2 linked regions of the Yarrowia lipolytica genome follow. The protein of the gene in region 2 interacts with the protein of the main gene of each other region in a biochemical or structural test. Links are inferred from orthologs where the notes say so. Each region holds a gene or a part of one and is shown on either strand. Other genes may lie near its edges.

The links. The genes of interacting proteins can lie anywhere in the genome.
Region 1: of the proteins of YALI1_A14390g (region 2) and YALI1_E27104g, one has a biochemical effect on the other in vitro, tested with the Saccharomyces cerevisiae proteins (2 studies listed by BioGRID). The link is inferred for Yarrowia lipolytica from reciprocal best matches to the Saccharomyces cerevisiae genes NGG1 and RPD3.

What each region holds. Positions count from the first base shown.
Region 1 is NC_090774.1:2,706,835-2,713,216, forward strand, and holds YALI1_E27104g (uncharacterized protein), read right to left. Parts: upstream 3,559-6,382; coding exon 2,182-3,558; downstream 1-2,181. Other genes in the region: YALI1_E27059g (uncharacterized protein), read left to right, coding at 1-64; YALI1_E27076g (uncharacterized protein), read right to left, coding at 196-771; YALI1_E27077g (uncharacterized protein), read left to right, coding at 787-1,959; YALI1_E27113g (uncharacterized protein), read left to right, coding at 4,440-5,537; YALI1_E27144g (uncharacterized protein), read right to left, coding at 5,799-6,382. UniProt on the Saccharomyces cerevisiae protein: Catalytic component of the RPD3 histone deacetylase (HDAC) complexes RPD3C(L) and RPD3C(S) responsible for the deacetylation of lysine residues on the N-terminal part of the core histones (H2A, H2B, H3 and H4).
Region 2 is NC_090770.1:1,436,300-1,443,052, reverse strand, and holds YALI1_A14390g (uncharacterized protein), read right to left. Parts: upstream 4,044-6,753; coding exon 2,136-4,043; downstream 1-2,135. Other genes in the region: YALI1_A14430g (uncharacterized protein), read left to right, coding at 21-215; YALI1_A14414g (uncharacterized protein), read left to right, coding at 315-496, 566-722, 1,651-1,719; YALI1_A14377g (uncharacterized protein), read right to left, coding at 4,888-5,364; YALI1_A14368g (uncharacterized protein), read right to left, coding at 5,494-6,192; YALI1_A14345g (uncharacterized protein), read right to left, coding at 6,598-6,753. UniProt on the Saccharomyces cerevisiae protein: Component of the transcription coactivator SAGA complex. SAGA acts as a general cofactor required for essentially all RNA polymerase II transcription. At the promoters, SAGA is required for transcription pre-initiation complex (PIC) recruitment.

The DNA of each region.
Region 1 (6,382 bases), on a different chromosome or scaffold from region 2:
GGCGTTTGACACGTCGCGGATCATTGTGTATCCAGAAAGCGCTCCCGAGTGGTGTTCTTCGTAGCCTTACGTCTAAGGTCTAATCACATATTTATCTATCGTGCCTTGCTTGTCTATAACTTATAGCTTTCTTTCCATTCAATGTATAGTTACCGTCCCATGCTTATACCCTTGTTAACTTGTACCCATATTGTATCACTGCACAACGTGAATGTTGAAGTAGACCACCGGCAACTGAGTGGTCTCAAACGTCACGTCGGCCTGGATTCCCAGAGCGGCCAGAACTCCTCTAATGACACCCACGGGGAACCACAGGTACGGAGTAGCCCCCTTCATGGTCTCGACCTGGCCTCCCTTGGCACTCATGCGTTGACAGCCTCGAAATTGGTTCTCCACAAACACAAACGTGCCTCTGTGGTTGGTTTTGAGATGGTCCACCTGCTTGTTGTACAGCAACAGCCACACGTCTTTGCAGATGAACTTCATCATGTCCAGCGTATCTGCAAAGTGTGGTCGTTCGTTGGAGAAGCTCTCGGCGATGCCCCGTCCCACACGGTATCCGTATCCCTCCACCCGGAAGTACACGTTGTCCAAGTGGCTTTCCGAGTCCACCAAGTATCCAAACGGAGCCATTTTGGAGCCCTCTTCCGGCTCTGTCAATTCTTGCGACACTCGGAGAGCTGCAGGGACCACTTCTGCCAGCAGCAGCTCCAGTGCTGTGCTCGAAACCATGCCCTCGTCGGCCGATAATGACTGTCGAGGTGTTGCCATTGTGTGTTTGGTGCAATGCGGTGTGTGCTAATTAGGCAACGTCAATATCAAGCACTCGGCTCTGGTATGCGTGGTGCAAGGTTGGGAGTCGCGCATACTGAAACTTTGCCTTGCACTGATATTGTACTAGAGCTATTGAGCTGTCCCTTCTCGGATCAGATCCTGACACAAGACGGAAACAAAAAAAGAGCGACATATGCGCGAGGGGAGAATCGCAACAGCTATATAATGGACCATGCCACGACCGCAGACGGCAACCTCACCGCCACACCAAGTCAACTACTCGACAAGATGATTCCACCCAAAGACCAACCTACCATCGACTCTACGGTCTATGAAGATGGAGGAGGAGACGTGTGGGACACCATCATCAAGGAAACAGAGAGGAAATCACAAGATATTGACCAGGAACAAATTCCTGACCTCGTCTACGACACGCCAATCGCTTCAAGTGGCTCCTCAGGCAGATTCAAGATCCACAGAGAATCACTGCGCCCAGATCACGTGCCTGATTACTTTCCTACAGACAATCCTCTGGACTGGATTGCGTTGTCAGCAATGTTACTCGGAATTGTCATGGGCTCCTGTTTCCTAGCTGCCTTCTACGTCGACTTCTACCAACTGCCCTTCTACCTGGGTTCTCTGGCTCTCTTCCACTTTCTGGAATACTACATCACAGCGCGCTACAACACCCCCAAGGTATCCTATGAGAGCTACCTGTTTCGAAATGGAGCAGCCTACCACATTGCGCATGTTGTTTCGCTCGCAGAGTCGCTGATCGAGTACTACTTCTTCCCCAACCTACAGAACCGAAGCGATGTGCGTATCATCAGCGCCTGCGGAATCGTGGTAATGATCATTGGGCAGCTGGCTCGCTCGCTAGCAATGATCCACGGAGCCACAAACTTCTCCCACAGAATCGTCCAGAGAAAGACCCAGGAGCATACACTTGTAACCACAGGTATCTACTCTCTGCTGCGTCACCCGTCCTACTTTGGCTTCTTCTACTGGGCCTTGGGCACTCAGATGCTGCTGTTCAACTCTGTGGGCTTTGCGGCCTTCTTTGTAGTTCTCTGGGCCTTTTTCCGGGAACGAATCGACTTTGAAGAGCAGTTTCTCGTCTCCTTCTTTGGCCAGGAGTATGAGGACTACAGAAACAAGGTGGGTACAGGTTTGATTGGCATTTGAAAAGAAAACAGAGTCGACTTTGATAGTCAACCATTGCATTCTCCATACTGTATTAGTTTGAATTTATCTTCTACACAAACATGTTATCGCATCATCCACAAGTCTTGAACTAATGTCTCCATACTCCTGTGTGTTATTTCTATACAAGTATCATATGATATGTGCCCGTCCAACGTTTGATAGCTAGTCACAATAAATTTATTCTTCTACATATAATACAAATTAGTCCTCCATGGCGACATCCTTGTCCTTGAAGTTGTTGATGTCCTTGGCATCTCCACCCTCGAGGTTATCGTCGTCGTAAAACTCGTTGGGGTGCTCAATCTGCTCGTCAATGGCCATCTGGGAGCCGCCCTTAGTGTCCTTGGCCTTGGCCGAGTCCTCCTCTTCATCTCCATCATCAGGAGCGTCTCGGGGCACATCGGTCATCTGCACAGAAGGTGCAAACTTGGTTCGACCAAGGTTGACAAGCACCTGGGTGAGAATCTTGTCCAGGTACTCGGGAGAGTTGGCATTCTGCATGTTAGAAGGTCGCACCTCGAGCTTATAGTCGGGTCCGTAGTATTCGTAGTAATCGTTGTAGGGGATATCCGGGCCCACCATCTTGTTGAGAAGCAGACCGGTCTCAAAAGTCCACGTCCTTGACACATTTCGCATTGTGTAGCCTCCTCCTCCGACCACCAGAACCGGCAAACCAAAGGACTTGACGTAGTTGACGCAGTTGGCATGACCCTGCATGGACAGGTTGAAACATCCAAGACGGTCACCCGACAGCGAGTCACCACCGCATTGCAGGACAACGACAGTGGGCTGGTACCACTCCATGATGGCCTTGATGACGGGCTGGAACACGTTTTTGTAGTTTGTGTCGTCGATTCCGTCTCGCAACGGGAAGTTGACTGCGTAGTTTTTGCCCTTTCCGGCTCCGATGTCCCGCAGCTCACCTGTACCGGGGAAAAACTCTCCGTACTTGTGGAACGAGCACGTCATGACTCGGTCCGTGGTGTAAAAAGCCTCCTCAACTCCGTCTCCGTGGTGCACGTCGATATCAATGTACAGGACTCGGGGGTGGTATCTGAGCAGCTCGATGATGCCCAGCACAATGTCGTTGAGGTAGCAGAATCCGGACGCCTCGGATTTCTTTGCGTGATGGAGTCCTCCGGCCCAGTTGATGGCAATATCACACTTGCCTCTGTTAAGCCGGGCGGCTCCCTCCATAGATCCTCCGCCGGAAATTCCGCAGAATTCAAACAGACCGTCGAAAACGGGACAATCGTCTCCGACGTTGAACTTTGCCTGCTCCTTAGCAAAGTGCTCCATGTTGTCCGGAGTGACGCGCGACAGGAAATCGACGTACTCGTCCGTGTGGAACTGGCACATTTCCTGCTTGGTGGCAGGCTTGGCCCGGTAGATCTCCATGTGCTTGTAGAGACCGTAGTTCATGATGAGCGAGTGGGCCATTCGTATTCTGTGGGGCTTCATGGGGTGGCCGGCGCCGTAGGCGTAGTTGCCGACATCCGAGTCGTAGAAGTACGCCACCCGTTTTTTTTCGTTGGGCTTGACCGTGATGGGGTCAAACGGCTCTTGCGTAAATACCATGGTCTGGTGATGGCGGTGTGTGGTGCAAGAGGTGGTGGTGGTTATATGACGATGAGAGTGTGCTATACAAGCCCAGTTACAGAAAATATGCAGAGCAAAAGTCAAACCCGAGCGAGGATGTGTGAGGTTGGTGGATTATGGGCGCAAGTGAAAGGTGGCAAACACTCTCCTGTCACTGTAGCCAAACTGGTGGGGTGCATGAGGGGGGAAATCGGGTCTTTATATACTATTTCATGTGTCGAAAATATGTCTTTGCACAAAATGCGGCCGGCCGAGGGACTCTTTTTCATTGTACTCTGAACATACTTGTATGATGCTCAATTACCACTCACACACTGCCAAACAATAGCCTCTCCCAACTCTCCCAACGATGACTGTATGTAAGAAGAGAAGTGGAAAGCGCTGAAAAAGAAGTGCTCCGGTGCTGAAATTGGGATAAAAGATGGGGTGGCTGGCTCTCAAGAACAAACTGAGTATGTCGTTGGGTAGAAAGAGATCAAATCATTTACACACACCTTCTCATATCTCCTCTCTGTAATTTTTTCAAGTACTGTACTGAAATGTGTGTGCTTGAAATTTCACAGTGTTTCCCAACTACTGTACAAGTATAATTAGTATCATGTCCCAAGTGTCAGGCTAAACAACGATCATAGTCACCATCCCCGTTCTCATGGAGCATAACCAGTCCCATAAATGCCACGCAAGGTCTTGAACCACCCTTGAAAATATCGCCCAAATCTCCAACTCCAAGCACCGTCACGTGCTCATTCCCCATTAGGTGTCGGTTACATCACTTCTCCATGCAAGATCATGCAGAACACGTAAGTACATGTACTCATACTCTCCATACTCCCCACCGGCCTCTTACAACCTGAAAAAGCATGTCAGAGCTCAGAAAAAGAAACCAGGCTGCCGTCGCAGATCTGAGTGAAAATATCGAGGTCACAGAGACCGTTGAACTTACCGAAAAGAAACCCGAAACCACCAAATCAACCAAGGGACACATCATCGATCTCATCATATGTGTCTCGGGCATCTACGCGTCGTTTCTGACGTGGGCAGTGCTCCAGGAACGAATTGCCACCACACCATACGGTCCCGACAACAAAATCTTCCGAGCATCTCTCGTCATCAACACAGTCCAGTCGTTTCTGGCCGCTGCAGTGGGATACGCCTACCTGCAGTATAAACAGAGCCGCAGAGCAGCCAAGGGTCTAAAGAAGAACACCACGGTCTTCGACAGCATGTACACACTCAAACAGCTGTCGTTGGTGGCTCTCAGTCAGTCTTTGGCCTCTCCCTTGTCCTACACTGCTCTCAAATACGTCGACTACCTTACCTCCATTCTGGCCAAGAGTTGCAAGCTGATCCCACTCATGGCACTACAAGTGACTCTTTACCGACGCAAGTTCCCGGCCTACAAGTACGCTGTGGTTGTTCTTGTAACAATTGGTGTCTCCATGTTCACCATCTTCCATGCTGCTCCGAAGAAGGCCTCTGGTGCCGGATCTGAGCACCAGCTCTACGGTCTGGGTCTTCTTGGTATTAGTATGCTGCTTGACGGACTGACCAACTCCACCCAGGACCAAATCTTCCGAAAGAATGCAGATATTACAGGGCCCCATGTTATGTGTGGCCTCAACCTGCTCACTGGTGTTTTCACCACTGTGTCTCTGCTGACCTTCTCTCGTCCTCAGCTAGATACTGCGATCGCTTTCATCCGACTGCATCCCGAAATCATGCGAGACATCGTTCTGTTCGGTCTCTGTGGAGCTGTGGGCCAGGTCTTCATCTTCCAGACCCTCGAGAAGTTTGGTTCTGTCGTGCTGGTGACCGTCAATGTGACCCGAAAGATGTTTTCCATGCTGCTGTCCGTTGTCTGGTTCAACCACCGGCTGACTCTCGGCCAGTGGGCTGGTGTAGCCGCTGTCTTTGGCGGTATTGGCTTCGAGGCCTGGATGAAGATGAAGAAGAACTAGACCATAACGGAAAAGAATTGCAGTCTTCACCAAAATCAAGGCTGGACAAAGCGAAGCAAATAAAATGTAACATAGCTATTTAATACATCTCTATACCACCTTATAATGACCTATCGTAGCACATCGTAGGTTTCCCCCCAGCTACCAACGACTCATATGCGCTCACATCTACACTCGGTTGGATTATCACCCCTTCCTCGCTTGGTTCGTCTGTTTGTGAATCTGTACATCAATCATAATCTATTACTCTCTATACTCCCCCTACATGAAAGGTTCAATGTTGAACTCGATGCTGGAGGAAGCATAAGGAATCTCAAACTTGGCCAGGACATTGGGATGCAGAATGCCCATCTCTCCAATTACCTTGGCCTCGGCTCCGTCCTTGGTTCGCAGGTGGATGGTGGCGCCTCGGCCGGGGAAGAAGGTCTCAGAGTGCGACTCCTCGATCCAGTAGCCTCGGGAAGTGGACTCCTTGGGGTTCTCGATCCACGAAACTCGCAGCATCTGCATCAGTCGGCCAAGAAGGCCGTGCACAGTCTCGAAACCGGAGGTCTTTCCGGAGTAGACGGCTCCGAAGTTTCGCTGGTTGTACGACTTTCGCTCGAGGGACTCGTCCTTGAAAACAACATCACCGGTCTCAAACACCTTAATGGGCAGCGAGTGCTTCTTGTTCTCTCTGATAGTCTTGAGAATACCGGGGAGAAGCGAGGTTCGGATCACCTGGTACTCCTGTGTCTTGGGGTTGGCAAGGTGCACGGCCTGGCCCTCGTCCTTTCGGTTGAGGAAGGCAAAGTTCTCGTCGTGCGAGCACAGGGTCAGAGGCATCACCTCGGCCCAGCCGCTCA
Region 2 (6,753 bases):
TGCCGCCTCCCGACCTCTAGACCACGTACCAAACCGACACAGACACCCAAGAACCCGTGATAGTCATCCCAAGAACCCGCCATAGTCACCCAAGATCGCGCTCATCAACACGCCCACCGTTTCAGTCTCAAACTGTCCCGTGTCTGACCGCTAGCCCCAAAATATCCAGCAAGCCTGACACCCCCAACTTCACACTCACTCACACACCCGACTGATCAGACAGCCCCAACCTGCTGTTGAAACCGGAACAGCACATACTTATATATACACTTGCCCCCGCTCCACCCACCACATCACCAACGTCACTTGCCACAATGAAACAATTGGTCGTCATGGTGGACCCCTCGGACCCCAACACAATCACAGAGTGGTATTGCTGTCAGTGTGGCGAGTACCACGGCAAGCCGCCCACCCGCTACGATTGTAAGCGATGCACCCACGGACTGTGTCCCTACTGTCCTCGAAAGCGAGTGGGTGATGAGAAGCAGCGTGGGTCGTGATCTAGGCGAGGACTAGGCGAGCGGAGCGAGTCTAGGACGAGACGAGTTCTGGATCAAGTTGCGAGTTCTGGATCGAGTTGCGAGTTGAGTCATTTGAGCTACTTCAAAGCCCGACACCAACGTCGAAGCCCTACGCCAAAGCCCTACGCCAAAGCCCTACGCCAATTGAACCAGCCTGACTCCGTTCTACTCCCCCTCCCCTTCACCCTCCCTCACCGTCACGTCCCTTGCATAGCATAGCCATCTGGAATGGCCTGTATATATTTAACGATGAAGATGAGACTGCCGTAACGTCGTGCACTAGCCCTGTGCCCGACATGACCTTGCGTGACAAACGCATTTTGATCTGTCCTGCAAATGCAGCTGCTATGCGCGGTTTAGCAATGCCGGTTAGAGCGAAAGAACGGGTCACGTGGAGGTTGTCATATTATTTCGTCACGTGAGATTTGTACTGGTGGTCACGAGATTTGACAAACCTCCTACGCTTTTTATTCGGCGATTATGCCGTGATGCTTTAGGAGTTGATGTGATGCAGAGTGAGCAGAGTGAGCAGAGTGAGAAGAGTTAGCAGAGTGAGCATGGTTTACGGGAAAGCAAAGTGTGGGTGTTGTATGTTGCAATGTGGGTGTCTTATATGATGGATTTGAGGTACAAGAATGTTTGTTTCGGGCGCGAGTACTTTCTGTACGGTGGTTGTACTGGTATCACGGATCTGACGGTATTGTATGTTGTTGTCTTGTAGTGAGATAAGTGACATTCTGTTAAGAGATGGTTTTGAATGACTGACTGACAAATACTTATATCTTCTTTTATTTCACTCACTTTTACTTTTCAACTCATTCTTTACTCTTTCACTCACTCTTCACTCTTCCACCCACTCTTCACTCTTCCACTCTTCCACTCTTTCACTCCCACTCCCACTCCCACTCTCGCTCACCATTCAGCCCATTCTTCCTACACTCTTCCTTTCAAAGAATGCCACAATCAGATAGAGTGGCTATGACGACTCATTGTCTCCAGGAATGATACTAGACATTCAACATGGATTCAAACCACCCAGACTACCCGTGACCACCGCTAGTGTCTCCATGTTTCGCGCCTAACCCCGCTCGCCACTCCACTACGGCCACCAAGTTACTGCTTACCTCAGTCGTCGCTTGATCACCGTCTGTCAGTCACCCAGCAAAAGCAGTTGTCTCCGTACAATAATGGAGTTTAGAACAGGGCTGGACATTCCGCATGGTTACTGTGAGCCAGAGGATGGTTACAGCTACAGCAGGGTTAAACCGTGGCTACAAGGGCTTCTTACCGGGCACATGTCGGAAATCTCCTTGTGAATGTTTCAAGTCTGCCACTACAAGTACATTTCTGTACAGTATGTACTGTATGTCGTACATTCTGTACGAACTGCTGGCACAATGTTCGCCTCGGACCTCTGTTTGTCTCTTGTCTTGAAACCCCTCAGACCTCAGAACACACTACAATATAAGTACGCTGACCCTCTACGCGACGCAACTGCCATCTGTCACCACCTCAATTGTCACCATCCCATCCATTCTATTATATACTATATGGGGCGGCAATAGCCACCCTTTTCCCAGCACCCACATCTGCGTCTTACTGCACATCAGCGTCTTACTGCACAAACATGGAGTCGTCAAACTCGCCTCCGTCACTCTCATCATCACTGCCCTCAAGATCCTTAAACACAGACACAGACGGCACTCGTTTCATGTCGTGTGGAGATGACGAAAACACAGGCCCAATCTTGTCGATCCACCGGTTTCGCTTGTCCAGCAGCACTCGAAGACCGGGCCGCTCCTGAGGTACAGCGGTGCCATTGTTGTTCTGCTGCTTCTTCTTTTTCGACTTGGGGTTGCGGATCCGCTTGAGGTAGGCCTGGTCCACCTGCTTGTCCAGGTCCTCCAGAATCTGCCGGAATTCCTGGTACGCCATCTGCTCCTTGACGATGGGCAGTAGGATACGTTTGCGTGCCTGGTTGGTCTTGTGCACCTGGCGCAGCTTCTTCTGCAGCACGCGCATCTGCTGGCAGATTTCGTCGTCCTCCCGGCCGTGCACCCAGTCGATTTCCAGGTCCTCGTTGTTCTCGTCGTCGTCAAGATCGTCCATGAGGTCCATCTCGTCGTCGCGCTTGGAGAACCGCTTGCCCTGCTTCTTTTTGTTCACGTCCATGATTCCCACGTACGTAAACTCGCGCTTGAGCCGCTGCTCCAGCGTCAGATAGTCACCCTTGGCTGTCGCCACCTTCCAGCTGGGGTTGATTAGCGGGCTTTGTGGAGGCGAAGACGACACTGCGGCGGCAGGGGTCGCGCTGTTCTCGTCGTCCTTAGGCTCCTCCTTGATTTCCTTTTTGTTGGGGTCCGGGAGCAGCGCAGACAGCAGACGCGACGCCAGAGGGCCGCAACTAATGTCCGAGCTCTCCAGCGCGTCGTCCACCAGATCCTCGCTCTTGCCCTTGGGCTCAATCTCCGCGAGCTCCGTCTTTGGGGGCGGCGAGAACCGGGACGCTGAGGCTGCGTTGCCAGCAGCAATACCTGCCTCGGCGTCTTCAGCAGCCCACGCGTCGGTGTAGGGGGGACCCAAAGGGGGCACGAGGTACGGTGAGATCTCTGCATCCTTGCCCGTGGCGTAAAGCGGAGCACCCGTGGCTCCAAGCGGGATGGACTGTTGGAGGAGCACGGACACGTCTTCCTCGGAAAAGGGTCGAAAGTAGGGCTCGATCGCAGTCGCAAAGGTCGAAAACTGCACCTGGTTGGGCGGCTTGGCCCGAGTGTAGTCTTGGTCCGGGATTGGGCCGGCCAACTGGTCCTTTAGGTCCGTGGTAGGGTAAGAGGCGACTCCATATTTCAGCTTGAGAGCCTCCTCTCCGGTGTAAGGGATGGTTTTTTCGTCGTAGAGCTTGAGCACCGACAGGGGCAGCGTCTGGGAGTCGACAAACTCGGACTTTGGGTTCTTTTCATACTCCTTGGGGGAGCCCTCTCCGGGGGGAGAGGTTTGGATCGTGGTTAGATCGCTATCAATGTTGAGTTTGACCGGTTCAATCTTCTTTTCCGCGGGTAGTTCGTCCACATCTTCCATTTTGATGTCCTTATTCTCGGTCTGAGAAGACCCTCCAGAAGCTGCTGCTGCTGTTTTCGACGAGGTTGACGACGAGCTGCTGCTCTGCTTGGGTCCTTTTCCCTTGCCCTTTCCGACACCCTTACCTCCGCTCTTGCCTCCCTTTCGCTCCCGGCGTCCCACCGTTTCGTCGATGGCCCGAATCACGGCCTTGTGGTTTTCCAGCACGCCACGGGTCCTCTGTCGAATCTGCCGCAACTCGTTCTGGAGCTCCACCAGCCCGTTCACAGAAACACGTGCATCTTCCGAAAGATCGATCCCATTGGTTTTGAGAAACGAGTTGGGTAACGTCAGCGCGTTCTGTAGCCGTCTCAGCAGCAGCGCGTCTGTGGGCGGCGGTGATGTGGACTTGGATTCCGGCTCCGCAGACGAAACCGCATGAGATCTTGATCGTCGACTGGCCATGTTGCGTGGCGAGATGAGTTATTATTTGTTTGTTGGTGTGGTTTTTTTCTCCGCCCGTTTCCTCTCGCTGTGGCTGCTTGGTCTTGTCGTCGATTTCGCTGTGTCGCCTGAAAGATTGTGTGTCTCGTCACGGCCTGTTTTTTTTTGAATTTTTCCTCCTCGTCAAGCACGCCGTTTTTTCCAAACCTCGTGATCGATGGGGCGCCGCCTCCTCCCAAAACCTGTGGGTTAGGGTTCCGTGAGAAGGTTGTGGAAGTTGAGGCCATCTCGGATATATACGCTACCAGTGGCGTATTAAACTCTATTGACTGCGGGGAAATGAGGGGGCGAAGGGATACCATTGTTCTAGCCACTCGTAAGATCATCTTCGGGCGTTGTTTTCGCCGGATTTGTGTCCTCCAAAGTCGTAGCGTTTCGTAGTTGATTGTACTATTGTGATTACTAATCGCATAAAGTTTGCGTTTTGCGGCCGGGTAACTGAATTTGACCACGCCATACTTCAACCTTCTTTTTGAGGGGTTCATGATAGGGTTAGGGTTGGGGTACAGGGTACAGGGTAAGGGGTACGGTAGTTTGTATTGTACGTTTACACCTCCGTTGAATGGTGATAATAAGTGATGACAGTTATGAACTTTGGCTGAGATGGAATAAGTCGGTGTTTTGACGGGCTGAAAGTGGTTGTTGTGTAACGGTTGTAGTATTGGAAGAGTATGGAGATGAAGAGTATTGAGAAGTAGGGTATCTTCGGAGAGTGGATTTCAGTGGATCAGTGAACGTTAGGTTTGGAGTTCTCCGATGTTTTGTTGGTTGTCGGAAGTATTTCCCAATATTACTGTTTTCGTTGTCAGTAGTAGCGGCTATTCTGGGTTAGTACGGAGTCGGCAGATGTATGGATGTGAGCAAGAAGGTGAATTAGGGTGAATAAGAGGTGAGTGATATCTTTCACGTTTTCCGACTGACGAATCTTGAAGTTCAATTGACCTGGTATATTGTACAAGTACAAGTACAAGTACTTGTAAAATAGTCGTTCCATGACGTGCTTGAACCTGCTCACTGACTGGAATTCTCTCTGCTCGGTTTGACGTGATCCAGTTATGTCCATCCAATTCAGAAGACATAAGATGTTATTGGTCAAAGAACAGGTTCGAGTGAAAATGGTGGAAGATTGAAACGAGGAGATGATGGAATTGATTTGAATTCTGGTCACTTTCGTGCTTGTGATTGTGCTCATATCTGTTCCTGTACTTGTAGAGAAGTAACAGGCCTTTGAAACATTCTGGATGAATGAACACTCAACTTGTCCATTACTTGTAGCTAACATACCTCAATCTAGTTCACAGATGCCTCATATACGCCCTGATAATGCGGTTTGGTGGACCCACACGTATGACCATGCCTCTTGAGAACGGCTCCTCCCACCACTGGCGAGGGTCCTATCACCACTGAAACACTACTCACGACAACCTCCGCCAAACCGCCTCACGGGCTCCTCCCGAATACTAGCGAGGGTCCCATTTGGCGGAGTGGAGACCAACATCATGTCGTAATGCATCTTCTCGATTTCGGCGTCCTTTTGATACAACAGGTTCGTGAGCTGCTCCAAAACCGCCTCCTGGTTCTCAATCACTACTCGCATCTCCTGCACCAGCTGATGGTGGAAGTCCGTGAGCATGTATTTTGGCGGCTGTTCTTCAAGGGCCTTTTTCTTCTCGTCTTCTCTGATGGCCTTGCGTCGTTTGCGTGCCGTGGGGCCAAACTTGTTGCGAATCTTGGCTGCCAGTCTGTCGGCCCGTGACGGGCCAATGTTCCACTTGCCGTACAGAATCTCGCGCTGGTGGCGGATCACGGGCCGGTTGGGGTTCTCGGGAGGCAGTCGCGCGTCGAGCTGCGGATCGTTGTGCACTTCAAGCAGCTCGTTGAGAGACATGACCTGCGGCGGCTGGTTGAGGCCCGAGTTGGACGGGTTGACGTTGGCCGCGTTGATGGTGGTGGCATTGGCCAGCGGGCTGGGTGGAGCTGCTGATCTCCGTGAGCCGTTGCCAACAAAGGTGCCGAGAGCATCAATAACATGGGGACCACGGGGAGCCGTGGAGCTATTGAGCAAACAAGGTCCAGAGCCATTCATGGTAAGTGGCGAATGAGTGGACATTAGAGAGAGGCTGGCGTTAGAGTAATCACAGACAAAAACCAAGAGAGCAGAAACCGAGCTGAGTTGAAAAGTGGGGACATTTTCAGCTCCACTTTTCGGCTCCACCCGGTATCTTCATTCACATGACCAAAACGTCAACACCAGCTGTCTGAAGAGGGTAAACATGAACGAGTACAAGTATACATAGCACGTTGATACCCCATCGTCAACAAGTACATACAGTATTGCACTCGCATATACTCCACCACTACAACTCCATGTTTGTCTAATAATAATACCACAAAATTTTATACACTACATAGCCCTGTCTTCCCTAGATTGCGTGCAAACGGAGCAGGCTTCATCCAGACATCTAATGTCTTTGTTAACTGCCAGACACCCGTCCGGCCTCGCGACCGCCCAGGATTATCTGTTGACAGGAAAGTATCGCCAGATTCGAGCCTTGCAATCTCCACTTCCAGTAGCAAACAACCCGCCCATGGGACTAGGAGCCACACTGATGACCGAATTTCGATGACCCTGCAGCATGAGTTGCACCTGGCCCGTTCGAGGGTCCCAGAA